Linked DNA regions of Caenorhabditis elegans. The protein of the gene in region 3 purifies or fractionates together with the protein of the main gene of each other region. This does not show direct contact. Each region holds a gene or a part of one and is shown on either strand. Other genes may lie near its edges.

Region 1 (6,282 bases), on a different chromosome or scaffold from region 3:
TTGAGACGTTTTTAGGCGTATTTGAAGGTTCAAATCCATAACTGGTTAAAAATAGAAATAAATAACAAATGATTAAAAAATTTGATAATAACATTTTAAAAAACATGATCAATTATCACTTATATTTTTTCTACTATGTTAACTTTTTTTGGATTTATAATATAATTGTTAAAGTTTCAGAAATTTCGGAACATTTTGTTGAAAAAGAAAAAAAGGAAAAATATAATTTTTTAAGAGTTTTTACATCAGATAAACTGACTGAAACCTTATCCAAAAAAAATTATTTTATTTTAAACGTTTTGCTCATTTTTACAAGCCTAAAATTATTTTAACACTAGATTTCTATTCTTGTACATGAGGTACAGCATACTAATTTTGTGATGTTGTGTTTTATTTCAGTCAAACATACTGGGTTAAATTCTTTGCCTTCCTAGTACCCCCTTAAAAACAAATTCAAATTTGTTACCCAGTATTCCAAATTTTATTTTAATTCCAGAAACTATGTTTTTCTTTTATGAATGCTTTGAATCCCTTGTTTTATTTTTCTTGGATCTAAGTCCGGAAGGGGTATATTATCAACAAGCCTGTAATTTTCAAATCCTTAAGTTTCCACGTCCGTTTTATTTTTTCAGATTGTTTGATTTTTTTTTTCACCAATTGATGTCTTTTTCCCATCTCTTTCTTTTTTTGAATGAACACACCGATTTTCGATTTTTATTCTGCTCACTTGTGCTATTTTAGTAGCAACTACTTTTTACTCTTTTTTGCCTCTTTGGAACGCTTTGAAATAAAAAAAATACGTTTGGTTTTAGATTTTTTAGATTTTGTGATTCATTCATTCAGAGTAAAAGTTTCTCGCTTCTTTCCAAAGGGTACCTCAATTTTTTTCCAAGTCGGAGATGACGCTATTCGGGAACAAAAACGTTTTCAGGTGTGTGTCCAAGTCAAGTTTCAAATTACTTTTAGGGAATACTCAAAACTTATTCATTCGATTTTACTTAGTTCAACAAGTTCACCTATCGGATTACTAAACTTTTTATGTAATTTTTCGATAATTTTTTTGAAACATGCCTCTAGTTAAAATCTCTTTAGAAAAATAAAAATTGAACAGTTGTTTGAATCTCCTTCTATGGTGAAAAATATCATAGTAAAACACTTCAAAAAACTGTGAAAATATTTTCAAAGTATTGAAAATTGGCAAAAAAATAGATTTTTTAAAGAATTTGTTACTGAAAATTTGCGAAAACGCCAAAAAAAAAGAAAATTTCAAAAATTCAATAGTTTTCGGAGCGTTTTATTATTTTCTAAAGGGTTTTTTCTAAATATTGATTCAAATTCAAAAAATGTCTCCTGACATTTATTGATAATAATATCTTTTTTTTTAAATGAAGGTAATATAAGGAGAGGCAAATATAGGCATTGGGACTAGAAAGACTCTCATTTACAATCACCCCCTACACAGGGAGATAAGGACAACAGAGCAACCGGAAAGAATGTAGTAGATTACACTATCCAGGCAGACGCCGCATAGATCAAACTATATATAAGACATCTTATGTACAGGACAACACAACACATTTATTTGAATATGTTCTGACAAAAAACAATTTCAAGTTTCCAAATTCCTAAAAACCGCAAATAATTTGCCGCGAATTTATATACTCAGAATTGTACGTTGTCTCACATGCATTCCGATGAACATGCCTTTGTGATAACGTAGGTTTTGCTTGAATGCCAGTGCACATTGTTGTCATAATGACCTTGTTCTAATTAATCAGAGATCTTAAAAAAGTGCACATATCACAAGCCCCATGAATCACATATAGCTTACTGATACCATTTTTTTTGTCTTCGCACTTTAAATATACATTTTTTGTTTGTTTGTTTTTTTTTCTTATTGATGGAAATTGTTCCAACTTGTTTCAAGTATATCAATATGTTCCTTGAAATCATCCCGTCGACTTTTACTTTTTTTCCAGACGCTGATCGGGATAGAACAACACAAAGGACACGGCTCTCACAGCATAGACTTATCAACTATGCAAATGGAGGTAATCGTAATTTGATCACTTCTCTCCTTTCTTTTTCCATACTCTATTCTCATTTCTTGTGCATTCCGATGAAATCTCAATCTCACACGAGCGGCGCCGCCACTCCTCTTTAGTTTATACTCGATTCAGATGAGACTTTTGTCGTCGTCGTCGTCCACCAAATTTTTTCCCTTCTTATTTTCATTTTATTTTATTTTATTTGTCTCGTGGTCCCCTGGCTCGAAGCCAGCCTAATTCTTATACACTTGCTAAATGTGCATTGCTGTTTGAGCTTTGTTCTTTATATTCCTCTCATTCTCCTCCTCTTACATGTTACCACCACCAGCTGTATCAGAAAATGAGTGGAAAAATAAGGAGAAAAACACTGAACCAGTAGTCAGCCCACTCTTGGCTTCATATAAACAGCAGCACACCTTTTTCCAATTCCTTTCAACTCCTTTGCCAACCACACATTCTCTCTCTCACCACCACTAAATCTGATGTTTTTCAGCCGGATCTCTCGTTCTCTGATGTTATCACAGGTAGTACTGATATAGTCATGGAACGGCCCAACTCACGACTGCACTGTCATCCGGAAACACATACCTACAAATGCACAGTGCAACCATATTTTCCCCTACATACACATGCAACTACGGTTTATGGCAATGTAACAAAACATCGGCCGAGTCTGGGAAGTGAGTGTTTTATGAGAAAAGTTTATAAAGTTTTGACAATTTGTTTGCAACGAATCCATGGTTTTGATACCTAATTTTAGTATTTGAGTACTATAGACAGGTAGATCAGTAAACATTCCTAACAAATTGAAAAACGATTGGATACATTTTTAAATAGAACAAAAAAAAAGTTACGACGGTTCAATGTATTATAACAAATTTATTTTTAGATAAAATATAATTGTTTTCGTTTAATGTTTATGCTCTTTTGCATAGGAAATCAACTATCAAAACGTAAATTTAATGTTTTAATAATTTTTTGAATATGCTAAATGCCCAATTAGGCTATTTCTATTAATTTGTGAGTTTTATAACGTAATCCACATCAACCCAGCGGAATAAAAAATTTCCATTAAAATCTAAAAAATTAATTTCGAACATTTTCATAAGTTTGAAAATAATTTCACATCAACTAAGTTTTTATTTTGTCTATTTGGTTTTTTTATAAGTTTTTCTAAATTTGAAAATACCACAATTTTCTATTTCATCAACTTTTTTGTAACTCTCCAAAAATAATTTCGTACTAAAATAGAATTTATAACCAAAATTTCACAGATGCCAGATCGATCTAATATAATTTCCAAAAGTCTAAAAAATGAAGTAATAATCTTTGATTATTGAATTTTTTCCCCGCGTTTTTTCCCGTTGAATAAATCATATTAGTCAACGTTGTCTTTTGCTCATTCTGTTGTTAATCATTTTTACACAGAAATTAACTTTTACGCAGAATGGTGAATTATTCTGATTATTTTGCAGTGCTTTAGAATTAATATATCAATGTCTCTTTTCAAGGTTTCTTTAATTAAATTATTCGTCATTTTCAGCATTGCAAGCAGGTGATACTCTTCATGCAAGGCGATTTCTCAGCGATAAGCGACGGAGTTACCGGAATCGAAGTCTTGTGAGAACGTTTTCTTTTTGTATTAAAATGTGGTTTTTAATAATGTAAGAACCCGAGTGCAAACTACTCGAATTTGAATTCAAATTTTCTCTTTCTGACACCCAAAAATAGGTTACTTACTGCCATTTTGTTTTTGCATGTGACCGACAAAATGGACTACAAACGTTTTTTCATGATGTCAAAACAAAACGCAGCGAAAATAGAAATGCAATTTGAGAAAAATGGGCGTGGCAATAAAAATATAGACTTCTGATGTATGAGCCAATTTTGAGGATAAATAGTTTAGGCTACCCGAGTCTCATAACAACCGAATCAAAAAATTATTCACCTGGATAAAAAAATTTTATCAGTAAATCTATACATATTATAAGCTATATAATGCATCGCCACTCGGTTGTTAGCTCTCCGGTAAAACACGAAATCTTACTTAGAAGTATATTTATTTATTCTATTCTCTTATTTAGGGTCCAACAATTGCATCTGCTCCGTCTGTGGAGCAAGAAGACTACCGAACACCCAGGCCTTCATTTGATAGCAACGGTTATGTCGGAAAGAGTTTTGACTTTAGCAGTGCACAACATGGGCTTACTGCAAGTGAATCAAATGCTCTCGTGAAGGTACACTTTTTTTTGGTTGTTCGATTTGGTTGTTGAAACATGATAGTCTGAGTTATAAAGTTTTCAATTTCCGGTTAGATAATTGAGAATGAAAATAAAAATGGATAGTGCACTTTATGAACATTTGAGTTTGTTTCATTTTTTTGGTTGAGTATCAAAGTATTGCGGTGGGGAAAATCTTTGAAACCTCTCCTAATTCAAACATCATATGTAGTGCAAATTTTCAAAAGATTTTTATTTTTTGTTCACTATCAGAAACGTTTTGGGAATCGAGCAAAACAAGTTGTATGTATTTTCAAAAATGTTTATATTTGTGTTAAGTTTGAATACTGTAAGACTTGAAAAATTTTGCATTTTGCGTGAACATTAATGGGGGAGTATCATCGATGGGGGCTTAGTCTAAACACATTTATAATAGTCTAACATGGCAAAGTATCATAATTTAACACTCCAAAAAGTTTTGGATTATCCGATAATTTCAGTCGTAGTTTTAGTAAGTTGTCAATTTTTCTGAACTTTGGATTTTGGATGACCTAGAATCTCAAAATACAAACTATTGAAATGCAATTCATATGTGTATAAATTCTAGAAAACTTTTTTTTAGAGGTGAAATAAGAAATTTCCATTGACGATACTTCATCTCTAGCTGGAAATTGTGAGACATCCAGAACCTCAGTGTTTTATTTAGTCCCGTTTCAAGTATATTTTAAAAAAACTGGTGCTATGATTTTTTGATTTTTCAAAATTGAATGTCATTCATAGTAACCAATTATAGTGAGTACGATCATGAATCAATCGGAGATTACTGAGCAAATTCATATCTCGTTTTGCAGGTGTCAGCTGACTTTCTTAGGTTAAACGGAAGCCGTCAACAGTTCAAAAACCTTCTATCAGCTCGAAAAAAGCTGGGATCCCTTCCGCCTGCTTACACAAGAATTGACTATAGCAGGGAGTCGTTGGACTCGCATTCTGGTGAGTGATGGGGTTGGGGACGAAAAAAGGGGGCATTGTACTTACGAGTCGCTAGTACGGTAGCAACAAAATCCTAATACAGCTACAATCATAAGGAGGTATAAAATACGTTTGACTATACACTTCAAAACACTCATTTCTTCAAATGCTCCTTATTCTGTAGTAATGTTAGTTCATCAAAGTTCGTTTGACGATGATAATGATCTAGACTGCTGTAAGTTAAATTTACGTATGACAATAAAGCGCAATTGATGTATACGTAGTTCAACCGCGTAAAATGTGTAATTTTATTTTCAGCGCGAGGGATTCCTAATCACCATGGGCCGGTGATAACAGTGGAGGATACAGGATCTCAACTTAGGATTAACAATATCAAGCCCAGTGTGAATCAACACCTCCTCGAATCGTCATGTTCGTTTGAAAAAAGTGAGTGAAAAAACTTAGTTTTGAAAAATATGAATTCAACTTTGAAAGTGATAAAGTGGAACGTTCTTGTTTGTGAGTATTTTGTGAGAATACACCACCTGACGCCTCCCCTGACGCCTCCTTAAGACCTGCCGCACCTATGCCTATTTTCTGCAATTTGTCTAGGCGTTTGTAAAACGTTGAGTATATGTTTCGCAGCGTCCGATATACGCGTCTACTACTCAAATTCCACTAGCAAGAACACTGGTCCCCCGTTCCTTTTCTATGTAAACCTGAGAAAGGACATGTACGCCCACACAACCAATTGGATTGTGATACAAGGTTCTTAAATGGCTTTAGTAAATTTATTCTTTCCGAATTCACGTACGCCTTTTGTAACCCCCAATGAGCACCATGTGTCTGCAAATGAGATGGGAGTCTTAAAGGAATCTCGTTCAATGTTACTATTTTGAAATTCTAGTTTGATGGTCCTTCACACAGTTACTAAAATTTTACGGAAATTTTGGAAAATTCTGAAAAACTATTTACTGGTGTCAACTGCGCATCATGATACAGCAGGTGACAATATTCATTGTTAACATATTTTATAATAAAGGAAG
Region 2 (6,178 bases), on a different chromosome or scaffold from region 3:
ACTTATAATTTTAATTATTATTTTTCTGCTTTCGCTCAAAACATCATTATCGTCCCATCCCATATTCCATCCGAAAATAATAATCAAAAATTTGAAAAATTCGAAGCCATCTATTTCGAGCGCCTTCCAATTTTTTCTTTCTTCTCCACTTTTCCCATTCCAAATCAAAAATGCATGCGTACCTTTTTAGGCATCACAGACTGAATCATATGATCTTTAAACTGTGTCTCCAACTCTAGATCCTTTCTTGCCAACATCGATTGTCCCACTTTCAGAAACGTTTTCCTCTGTCGCACTTGAGTTAAAATGAACAAATGGACACCGAGTAAATGGACACCAGCGTGAAGGACAAGCTTAATGTATCCGGCCTCTTCAAGACCAATTTTGTTCTTGTTGAGAATCTCAAATAGGATTGAGTAGATTATTCCGATGAGTATACATAAATAGAGTGGCAGTGGAATGACTGTGTAGATCAGGAGAACGACCTGGAATAATAAGGAATTGAGTGATAATGATATCAGAGTACTATGTTCTGGAAACTCGGTGGCAGCTTGTTGACAACCGTCTGCACCTTTTTGTCAAACGTTCACCATTTTTAACAAATCTTTCAATAATTTGCAATTTTTGTGAAACTGTGCAATTTCTCGAGAATCTTCGGAAACTTCTAAAAAACAATTTGCAACTATTTGGCAAACTTTTGAATTTTTCCGGCAAACATTTGCATAACTTTAAATAGCTTTTGCAATTTTTGGCAAACTTATGCAAACTACTGAAAAGGTTTGAATCTTTTTTGGCAGTCTTTCGAAAATTATTGGCTGGTTTTTGCTACTTTTTTGCAAACTTTTGCAACAAATATTTCTATCCAATACAGCTGTTTTTTTTCACACTGGGTCTTGAATGTCGGATGTACTTTTAAAAAAATTCCCCCCCAGATTCCTACCTGAAAACTTGTGGCAAGACTTGCAACTGGAGTCATAAACGCAGCTTGATTCTCTGCGGAGAAGATGAGCAACGTGACAAGGCATATCAAAAAAGTGCATAGAAATGAGGTTGGCATGTAGAACCTGAACATTCAACACATACAGTATCATTTTCTAACAGAACGTGTTCCGACAGTTTTCCGAGTTTACAGCCCCCGAAATAAAGAAAAAGAAGTGGACATTAAATGCAAACCTTTGGTATTGAGCGGCGCACGCCGTGAAGGCAAACATCGCGAAAATAATGGCACAGAGGCATAGTGAAACGATCTGAAATTTTTGGTTATGGATATTCTTGTGATCCAGACACCAATCGATATTTTAGAATTTAAATTTGCAGGAGAATTTGATATTTTTTTGAGATTTTTTTCAGTCCGCCACTTTACTTCTAGGGCACATAGCTTGGTTCTTTTGGAAGTTATTAATAAATGATCAAATACGAAATTATAGAAAAACATATGTATAGCAAATATTTTTTCAGTTCAAAGTTTTTATTAAATTTAAGACAACTGGGATACAAGCCGCCAAAATTATTTGTTCTTGATTCAACCTCTCGGTACTTTCTTTGCGCAAGAACAACGTCTAAATTGACTTCTGTCTCATCTCAATCATCTTCCGAAAATAAGAGTCTGTCACATTGTTATGCGTGCCTTTCCCCGTGAAATTGGTTTTTGGCACATCCGCACCGTTGTGCTCCTCACAACTCATGGAGCGTTCTCTCCTGGCGCCCGAGCAAATGGAGGGAGCACACGCATCTCACAACATTGCAGATTTACAAAGGGGGCCCTTCTCTCTTTCTCGTTCTATCTCACTTTATCTCACTTTTTTCGGTTTTCTGTTTTTTTTTTTTTTTTTTTTTTTTTCAACAATTGCTTTTCTGTTTTGTTGTCTCTATCCCTATTTCACCCTTTCTTTCTTTTTTCTCTCTATATCACTGAGCTCATGAAAATTGACAGCGAGAAGGAGAAGGAGGAGGAAGTGGAAACGATGAAGCCAACTTATTTTTAGAACGGGAAAGGATTGAGCCTAAACACAAAGATGGGTGTGACTGTTTTTCGAAGTTTCAGAAGATTTTTCAAATTTCCCAGAGCCCGGGCTAATACAGGATGGTATGAGAACTTCGGCAGTAGGCACGAATGTAGACATGAAGTAGATGAAGGCCACCTTGAAAGGCTACCGTACCCACTCAATCTTGAGAGCCTAGCTTTAGGCGTCCAAGCTGAAGCCTAAGTCTACGCCATCGCCTAAGCCTAAGTCTAAGAAAAACTATTTGATACAGTTATTAAAACAAAGGAATTCGCTCTGAAACAAATCAAAATAAACTTATCTCCCCTCACCTCTCCGAAATGAGAAATTTTCGCAGTTTTCCGTAATGTTTGCTTAAAACCATTTGCATTATACCTATATATATACTATCTATACATATTTATTTGTCCGACCAGTCGTCCCAAACCGCGTGCGCGGTATACAATGGAGAGAGGGGTGTCCGAGTGAGAAGAAATCGAATGAAGAAATAATAATAAAAAATAGTTGGACGGACGGAAGAGAAATGGGAAAGAAAAGTAAATGTGTTCAGAGAAAGTTCTTGAATTTTTGGTTGAGAATGAATTGAGGTAAAGTCAAAAACAACATGTAATACACTTGAACTTTGTGATTTGAGGTTTTTGGCAGAAAAACACAGTTCTAAAAAACTATTAAAGTGTTATTTGAGAGACAAAAAATTTAGCTCTCCAAAGTTTCGTCAGATGACCGAAAAACCAAAATTGATGGCTGATTTTTTCAATTTTTTAACAGTTTACTCTGAGCCTAAAACTGCTGGGTCTGAAATAAATCATAGCCTAAAAATAACGATAAAATTTGCCTTCTAAAAAGTCCGGGTGTGTAGTCCTTATGTAGTGGGCGGTTTTTTTTTTCACATTTTTCCTGTTTTTCAGCTCCAAATTTTTTTGGGAAATTCATTACTTTATTTTTTGAAATATATCAGTTGACAGCTTTACCATGGGAATTTTTTTCATTTTTAATTTAATTAAAAAATACAGCCGCGAGATTGCCAAGATAGCTCGCAAACCACACCAGATTTTTTTTCTCAAAAAGTGGGTGTGTCCAACCGATCAGCAGAGTTTCCTTTAACCAATAGCCGAGCTAGAACCCTCTTTCAAACTTTCAAACTTTCCAGAACTTTTTATTGTGGAAACTTTAACATTCGTTTTTTATGTCGAGAATTATAATTCGATAATTGAAAATTTTACATCATTTCCACTTTTGCAAAGATCCTATACAAAAAAGTTACAGTAGATGAGAAAATCGGAAGGAAGGAACCATAGAAAATGCAAATGACCTCCTTGAATTTTTTACGGAGCTCCACGATTTGAATAATTCACACAAGCCGGGCCGAGAATTTTTTGTTTTGATATTTTTTTAGCAATGAATTCTAGATTTTTTTCCAAAAAAAAAACAAATAAAAACTCACCCAATGCTGAATAAAAGTTCTATCGAATAAAGCTAAATAAAGTGTCCAAGCGGCAATTACAACGGCAATATATATTAATCCAGAACGAAATCGATCTCTTAACTGACTGAAACTACACTTCCAATATTGAGCTTCTAGTGTTGCAGATCGAAATTGAGGATTCCACCATCTAGCAGATGCTCTCTCAAATAATGGAACACGTCTTGGGGAACTACTGTGTGCACGAACTGATGGTCCACATGAACCACCGAGAGCCGGTGTTCGTTCACCGACATCGTCGTCCATGAATCCAGAAGACAAGAAGAATCTTCAGAATAGAAGACGTTGAAAAATGAAAAGGAAGAAGATGAGGCAAGTAGAGGAGAGCGAGTAGTAGTTGTTCCCCCTCCTTCGCCTCCTACTCCCCCCAACTGCTTACTCTTTTTCTCTCGTTCACTCTCTTCCAATCTCTCACTTACTTTTGAAAGCCTTTTCAGAGAAAAAGAGAGTAAAAGAAAGTGCGCAGAGAGCTTTGGAATGAGAGAGGCGCAGAGTTTGAAACGAAAAGCTGCGCGCTCGACTGGCCCCAGGGTGGGGCGGGTCCAAGAGTGTGGAAGAGAGAGAGAGAGGATGGAGAATAGACATTGAGCCTCAATCTTTCGATTATTGTGCTCATGGATTCGGGGGATCCCATGGGATTTGATAAGTATGTCGGAAACAGCAAATGAATGAATAATTAGCGATGGAAATTAGGACTTCAACTAATGAAAAATGGTCAGCAAGTGAATATCTTGGGGGTTTTTCGGATATGATGATCAGCAGGTTCAGGTTATCAAAGTAATGCAGTTTAAGTGAACCTTCACTGTAGGCACTTACCCCCTAGGCATCTGGTAGGGCGTATATCTAGAATTGAAACACTGATTCAAGCGAAACTTTTTCAACTACCGTACTCGGGAGTACTGTAGTACCTCAATCTTTCTCGCCAAATTTCTCCTGAAATTACAGAACTTATGAATTGATTTTTCCTCGAAAAAATCTACGTATATATTTGAAATCGGGAAATAAGGAAAAAAAACTTTTAAAAAGCTTCTATCATACTCGCTGGTACGGTATTTGATAAAGTTTTTCTTCGTGGTAAGATTTTTGTTGATGAAAGAATGAGTCTGTGAAGAATAAACCTTCAAAATTGAACATGGTAGTTGAATGAAAATTAATCTTTTATGCCTAAATAATTTCACATAGCTATATAGCTATTACATTTTTCGCAACAATTCTGAATACCCCGGTTATCGTATTTCGTCGTCTTGGATGCTTGCTAAATGAACCAATTTGTTTACCTATCACGCAATAAAGATGAATCGAAATCACTTTTCGCAATATCGCTTTAAAATGAAACATATAATTCCTAAAATACGCGAAACTCGGGAAAGCGATATTTTTTAAACGACCGCGTTTTTCTATCTCTACCCGCCTCTTGCAATCCCACACTCTCTCGCCTAGCATCACAATGGGGCGCAGTTGCATAAATCGCTTCGCGTTCAAATTCAGAAAATCGTCTCATTTTTATTTTTGTCCTCGACCCGAATGGCCGGTTTCCTTCTTTCTCCGTTTTCTTTATTGATTAATTTTCGCTCGTTTGGCCTAAAAACCGCGTAAAATCCGTCATTTTTCACCTATCTGGCTAATTTTTTTTGCACAAAATAAGATTTTTCAGTTTTCTTTCACTTTTAAACCTTTTCCGCACTGTGAGCTGTTTGCAATTTTCTTAATTTTGCTCTTTGTGCTTTTCGAAATTTTTGTATTATGAAATTTCGTTCTTCCCAAGTGAAATTAACTGAATTTGTTGCAGGTAATGGATTTTATCGATAATCAAGCCGAAGAATCAGATGCCTCCTCGGGCCATTCTGATGATGAAGAACCACAGTCGAAAAAGATGAAAATGGCAAAGGAAAAATCAAAAAGAAAGAAGAAAATGGTTGCCAGGTAATTATAATTCCGGGGTATTTCTATTTTCATTTGTTCATTTTTAGTTCTGACGAAGATGAAGACGACGATGACGATGAAGAGGAAAACCGTAAAGAAATGCAGGGATTCATTGCAGATGATGACGATGAAGAAGAGGACGCAAAATCGGAGAAGTCAGAAAAATCTCGGCACTCGGGAGAAGATGAGCTCGACGATGAAGATCTTGATTTGATCAATGAGAATTATGATATTCGAGAGACGAAAAAACAAAATCGAGTTCAATTGGGTGATTCCAGTGATGAAGATGAGCCGATACGAGTGAGTAATTTCGATTTTTTTCAATTGCCACTAAAATTCATAATAATAATAATAATCAAATTCGGAATTTCAGAGACCCAACCACGAAGATGATGATTTGCTTTCCGAACGAGGAAGTGACGATGGAGACAGGCGAAAAGATCGTGGTCGTGGAGATCGCGGTGGTTACGGATCAGAGTCTGAAAGAAGTGAGGATGACTTTATTGAGGACGATGGAGATGCGCCACGAAGACATCGGAAACGTCATCGTGGAGACGAAAATCTCCCAGAAGGCGCTGAAGATGACGCCCGTGATGTATTCGGAGTGGAAGACTTCAATTTGGACGAGTTTTACGACGATGATGATGGCGAGGATGGTCTAGAAGACGAAGAGGAGGAAATAATAGAAGATGATGGTGAAGGAGGAGAGATAAAGGTTGGAATTTTTGAGAAAAGCTTTGCATTATTGAAATAGGAATGGTTCAGATAC
Region 3 (5,805 bases):
TCGTTTATTCTCTAAATATTACTTTTCCAGGACTCCTCACGGATGACGATGACGAAAATACCAAATGGACTGCACAAAATGTCGACAAATTCTGCAGAAAAGCATTTCCATTGTCGTTTTGTTTTCTGAATCTCATATATTGGTGTTATTATTTATACCAGAATTATTTGGCAAAGGCCGAAGCTCTTGCTCAAATGACGCCACCATCCTGATTTTCGGGTGACTGTTTTTTTAGAAGACATTACGGGAGAATAATTTATGAATAAAGTTGAATTTTGATTGGTTGCAATTAATCTAGAATACACTGTAATATAAATACACGTAGAATTTTTCTTTACTGCTTCTTCTTGCTTCCTCCGCCGAGAATCTTCTTTCTTTGACCGATCATGTAGAAGTAAAGTTGTGGGAATCCGGGAATGTAGCTGAGAGCAGCAATGATGAGCACCCACCAGAAGGAGATTCCCATGTTGAGACGGTTTGGCATCTCGAGGGTAAGGATTTTCTTCTCATCAACTTCATTTAATGAAGCGAACAACGTCAGAAGCTCTCCGGAGACTCCCATTGGGTAGAGAACGTAGAAGAGGGTGTATCTGTAATTAAAATAGTTGAGTTATAGCATTGATCCCCAGAATCTCAAAATACCTGAGGTAGAGAAGGAAATATGGGATTGGTTGTTTCAATACGCTGAGTGCATAGAACGAGTACCGGATGACCTCTGTTACGGACCAGGCAACAAGAAGAAGTGGAACTCCGATACTGAAGCGAGCCTAAAAATTGGTTTAATTTATTCAAGTTTAAGATAAAAAATTCCAACTCACTGTTGAGCACAAGTGGAGGATTGGCCAGACAAGGACGACGCGAGATGTTACTTGCATTGCGGTAGTTCCAACTGGTGAACGAACAAGTCCGACAATTGCGTGAATGACCTGAATATGATAATTTCTTTAAAAGTTTTTCAATTTCAACAAAGCTAACCTCGAGAATAGCTGCGGTTTGGAAGATTTTAAGCTCAAATTCCACCGATTCGTAAAGTTGTGGCCATGTCAAGCCATTAGCGAGTCCAAGAACTGTTTTCACAAGAATTGCAGACCATCTGAAATTAATTTAAATTATTAAAATTATAGTGAACTTCTTTCAGAAAAAAAAACGTACCCTAAAATTTGTAACACGTTGTACGCAACCAGATACGTCTGAACGCTCATTGTTACCCTGCAAAAATAAGGATTTTAGGCAATGCAAAGAAAAGAAAATGAGAAAAGTATATCACGCCACACGAAAAAAAAGATGAAAGGGTAGAATGGAGTGATGTACAACAGAAACGTTATCAGTCAACTTGCGGGGAGTTTGAAGAAACATTTAGCGAAAACATAAAATGGGACATTTTATGTAATGTAAAACATTGGTAAAATTCGAAAGTTTAATTGAAAATATATAAATCTTCATACGATATCTTGGTTGATACAGGAAAAATGTAAATTTCTTAGTTTTTCAGAAAAATTATGAGAGCGAGGTTATTTATTTTTAATAAAAATTGAAGACTTCAGTTTTTTAATTGGAAATTAATCAAAAAATCTAGAAATAAATCACTTAAATTAAGAAAATGAAAGAAAATAATTTTTAAAATTTTAATTCTTAAGAAACATTTTTCTTGACTACAACACTCCGAAATAACCCTTCGCGCTTTGTTTATCGTAAATCTACATCAGGGCGTTTTTGGGGACAGTTTAAAAAATAATTTTTTGTGGAACAGGAACAGGAACTTGAAGCAGTTTTTTTTGTTCTTGTATTAAAATATTAAATGTAATTTTGAAACTAAAGAAGACTTATTTATATTTAAGCAAACGCAGGAAATTAGTTGTTGCACCATGGACGGAAATTGAAATTTTATGGCTGACTGATCTGAACTCTAGACATTCTGAGTTCTTTTACGTATTACTTTAGTTACTCACAACTATGATTTCTAAACAACGCCAGGATTCTGATGAAAAACCTCTCGAGGAACAGTTAGAGTTACTGCAGGTGGTTTTAATTTTTGAAAATATTATCAAAATTACTTTAAATTTTATGCTTCATTCAGGAAAAAATCGCAGAAATGATAGTAACAAATGAGGCGACCGAGAATCAGTTGACAAATTTAACATTCGAGTCGAACGATGTGATTATTTATCTGAAAAAATTGGTTGAAGAGAAAGACGAAGAGGTAAGAGAGGAATTAGAGAAAAAGGCAAAGAACGAGCATTGTTTCAGACTGCTCGTTTGGAAGAAATGTTGGAAGAACAGAGAAAAGAATCAGATAGAATGTTTAAAATTCATAGAGATAATTCTGAATTAGAAGAGAAGAAATTGAAAGAGCAAATTGAAAAGTTAAAGAGTGAAATGAGCATTATGGGTAGGCCGAAAAGAGAATAGTGAAAGTAGAATTAAAAACTTTTTCAAAATTTTTAGATACACAACTGGGAAACCAGCATCGTATCGAGCTAGAAATCATTGAGATGGGTGCAAAACTGAATTCTCTACAAGGTGTCGTTGATGAACAGGAAGAGACAATTCGAAGAAAAGAAGCAGAAGAAAGAAGCGTCAAAATTGCAGCTATTGAGCAGTAGGTTTCAAAAAATTGTATAAATTGAGGGGTTACGATGGTAGATGGGCTCGCCTTCGTGCCTATTTGTCTGCGTCTGCCTAGAGCCTACACGCCTGAACGGCTCCCTAAAATTTTGCAACAAAAATTATTAGTCAAAAATATATATTTCAGTTCCTAAAACCTACTAAACCAACACAAGTATCGTTTTTTGTGTTCCAAAAAATTGTCTTTAATATCAGGAGTTACCGAGTTTGCCAAGCTATGGAAATTGCATTTTCTGAAAAAAAAATATGCAGACTCATTTAGCATCTGGTTGTTTAAAAGAAATACTTGGTCCTTTTCGACCACTAAAGTCTCGTACTTTTATATTGTCACGTCGCAAATCATCTAGAGAATTAAATGAAAATTCCAGAGCTCGTGCAGATTTGAGCGCCGAGTTCGAGCAAGCTGTTGCTGAGATCCGTATTGAAGCAAGTCTGGAGAGCAAAGGTCACACTCTGATGAATAATCAAGTAATTGAACATTTGGAATTAGAACTTACCAGAAAGAAGCAAGATATGTTACGAATGGAGCAAATGCTCGAGGAGAAACAATCCGAATTGACGCAAGAAATAGGAAAAACTCAGGAACGTGAAGAAGAGAATTTAAAATTACGGAGTCTTTTGGAAAAGAGTGGCCAGACTGTGAGTTATTTCCTTCCTAACTTTTTTATTTAGTCTTTTCCAGACTGAAAAGGCATTGAAAGATAGTAAGAGACGACTGGAAGAATCGGAGAATAAACGAAAAACTACTCTCGAGAAATATATTCAAATTGAGAATGAATTGAATAGTAAAGTAAGTGTTGAAACTTTTGAAATAAATATAGCAAAATAATAACTTATAGCTAGACGAAGCTCTTCAAAACTCAGACAAGTGCCAAAAAATGACGTCACTTCTTGAAGATCAGCTTCTGAGAGAACAACAGACAAGGAAAGCGACAATTGATTCTCACAAGGCTCAAAATAAGAAAATTGAAGAACTCAAAGTATTCTTTAAGGTAATTCAAAACAACTTATTCCATTATTTTTTCTCTTTATTTCAGGATGTTCTATCCAGTGAAGAAGGTCTTCTAGACGAAGTTATAAAAGAGAATCGAAATGCTGTGTTTGCTCATCTTGCTTTGATTATATCTAGAATTCCAATTGTTCGCTAATGTACATATATGAAATTATCAAAAATTGTATGCTGAATATTTATTAAACAATGACTGTTGCTTAGACGGCCTGTGCGTGAACGCGAGCTCTGCGTTGAACGGCAACACGGCGGCGAGCTGCGATACGGTGACGGACAACAACACGGTTGCGGGCAACATTTCGATTGACAGCGACGCGGCGGTTGACGGCCATGACAGAAGAACGGGCTGGGCATGGGCAGTAGGCTGGAATACACGATTATAAATATAACATAATTAACTTTCGAGAAACTCACCAGCATCTCCTCCTGGGGCTCCTGGGTTTCCTGGGGTTCCTGGAACTCCGTCGTTTCCAGAATGTCCTGGTTGTCCGGATGGTCCTGGTGGTCCTTGAGGTCCTGGAGTTCCAGCTCCTCCAGAACGTCCTGGCTGTCCTGGGGCTCCAGCTGGTCCCTGTGGTCCTGGTCTTCCGGATGCTCCTGGAGTTCCACGGCTGCGTTGTCCTCCACGACCTGGATTTCCTGGAGATCCTGGATGTCCTGGCTGTCCTGGTGATCCGGCATCTCCGGCTGGTCCGCGTGGTCCTGGTGGTCCACGTCCACCTGATTGAGCTGGGGCTCCTGGTTGTCCGTTGTTTCCCTTTGGTCCTGGGGCTCCTGGTGGTCCAGCTGGTCCTGGTGCTCCTGCTGGGCAAGTGATACAGAATCCTGGTCTTCCCGTAGCTGGGTTAATTCTTGCTCCAGATCCTGGTTGTCCAGCAATTCCTGGAAGTCCTGCCTCTCCGCGAGCTCCTGGTTGTCCTGGTGGTCCTGGTGGTCCAGCTGGGCATCCACGGGATTGTTCTCCACAGTTGCATTCAGCCTGTCTCTTGTTACGTCCGAGAAGGAATGATGACCCGGATGATGGGCGAGTGGTTGGGATCATTGCTTGCCAAGCGATTTGCTCGTATCCCTTGAACTCCTTGAGCTCCCCGATCTTCTCATCGTAGAATGAGTTGATGTCATTGAAGATCATTCCAACTGTGAAAACACAGACAACAATAGCAATACCAGAGGCGGCCGAAGCCACAGTCACAAGAGTACTGGCGCTCATCTCTGCAGATGAGAGTGAAGTTGTATGTAACGGAACCTACCTTATATACAATTCTACCGGTTACTAGGTAACAGAGGATATAGCATAGAGAATCGAGAGGGTCATCTTGGTTTATCAATCCCTGACTTGTGTCCTATTATTTCAAAACCAGTTTCAACGAGGAAGAAATGTGAAGAAGATGCAAAATGGGCAACGCCTCCAGAAAAAAGTAAACGACGTGAACTTAACGGATAGCATCGCGTTGGAATTTAGAAACGTTGGAAACGCGTAGGAAATTGCTAGAAAAATGTTATTGTATGAAAATTCTAATTATGTGGAAAACTGTTGTGAGTTTTTAAAATAAAGTCTTAAGAAGTTTAGATTGAAAATTGATATTTTCAGACAATAATTATAGCATTATGCATACAAAAAATATATTCAAATGTAATTCCCGAGATGGCATGTTATCGACTTGACCATCAGCCACCAGACTTAACATCAGAAATTCAAACTTCTATCACCCCAAAAACATTTTTAAATATGGTTGAAGAGTTCACAAAAATGGAGGATATTGTTCTGCTGGTAAGCTGCAAACTTATAAATTTTCCTAATTTTTCATACTTTTCAGAAAGCAGGAGAAAAAATAATTACCAATCAGAGTCTTACCACTTTCGAATACTCCAAATTGGGAATCTTTCGAGTATAATTTTTGGTTTTGTTTTCAAAGACCTGTGTTTTTTTTTCAGAAATCAACACTATTCTACATAGCAGTTGCAGTATGTTACCTCTACTGGTTAATCTACACATTTTGCACTTTCAAGTTTTCCCGCTCTCAATTTGATTTGTTAATAGCGGTATAATTTCAAATATGAAGCATATTAGCGCCACACAGGCCACATTTGACAAAAAATTTTCAGCCATATCGAGGATTCTATCTGAAAAGTGTGTTGATGCTATTTTACTTTCTCTTTATTGCGCTCAC

Evidence for each region.
Region 1: the proteins of T15B7.15 (region 3) and kcnl-3 fractionate together in Caenorhabditis elegans (co-fractionation; one large-scale study listed by BioGRID). This does not show direct contact.
Region 2: the proteins of T15B7.15 (region 3) and acy-1 fractionate together in Caenorhabditis elegans (co-fractionation; one large-scale study listed by BioGRID). This does not show direct contact.

What each region holds. Positions count from the first base shown.
Region 1 is NC_003284.9:5,384,269-5,390,550, forward strand, and holds the start of kcnl-3 (Small conductance calcium-activated potassium channel-like protein 3), read left to right. Parts: upstream 1-2,589; coding exon 2,590-2,728; intron 2,729-3,591; coding exon 3,592-3,668; intron 3,669-4,132; coding exon 4,133-4,285; intron 4,286-5,118; coding exon 5,119-5,257; intron 5,258-5,554; coding exon 5,555-5,683; intron 5,684-6,039; exon of another isoform or gene 6,040-6,095; intron 6,096-6,282. UniProt on the Caenorhabditis elegans protein: Forms a voltage-independent potassium channel activated by intracellular calcium.
Region 2 is NC_003281.10:4,719,766-4,725,943, reverse strand, and holds the start of acy-1 (adenylate cyclase), read right to left. Parts: upstream 3,850-6,178; 5' UTR 3,733-3,849; coding exon 3,448-3,732; intron 1,248-3,447; coding exon 1,174-1,247; intron 1,065-1,173; coding exon 941-1,064; intron 486-940; coding exon 183-485; intron 1-182. Other genes in the region: emb-5 (Suppressor of Ty 6 homolog), read left to right, coding at 5,279-5,409, 5,457-5,709, 5,783-6,124, 6,175-6,178.
Region 3 is NC_003283.11:6,834,693-6,840,497, reverse strand, and holds T15B7.15 (GRIP domain-containing protein), read left to right. Parts: upstream 1-1,832; 5' UTR 1,833-1,953; coding exon 1,954-2,019; intron 2,020-2,077; coding exon 2,078-2,200; intron 2,201-2,247; coding exon 2,248-2,389; intron 2,390-2,445; coding exon 2,446-2,599; intron 2,600-2,993; coding exon 2,994-3,264; intron 3,265-3,307; coding exon 3,308-3,415; intron 3,416-3,464; coding exon 3,465-3,617; intron 3,618-3,662; coding exon 3,663-3,773; 3' UTR 3,774-3,803; downstream 3,804-5,805. Other genes in the region: lgc-54 (Ligand-Gated ion Channel), read left to right, coding at 31-212; Very-long-chain (3R)-3-hydroxyacyl-CoA dehydratase hpo-8, read right to left, coding at 335-590, 643-767, 819-926, 976-1,093, 1,153-1,202; col-143 (Nematode cuticle collagen N-terminal domain-containing protein), read right to left, coding at 3,835-3,998, 4,049-4,844; T15B7.14 (Chloride channel CLIC-like protein 1), read left to right, coding at 5,156-5,170, 5,226-5,405, 5,452-5,523, 5,570-5,677, 5,741-5,805.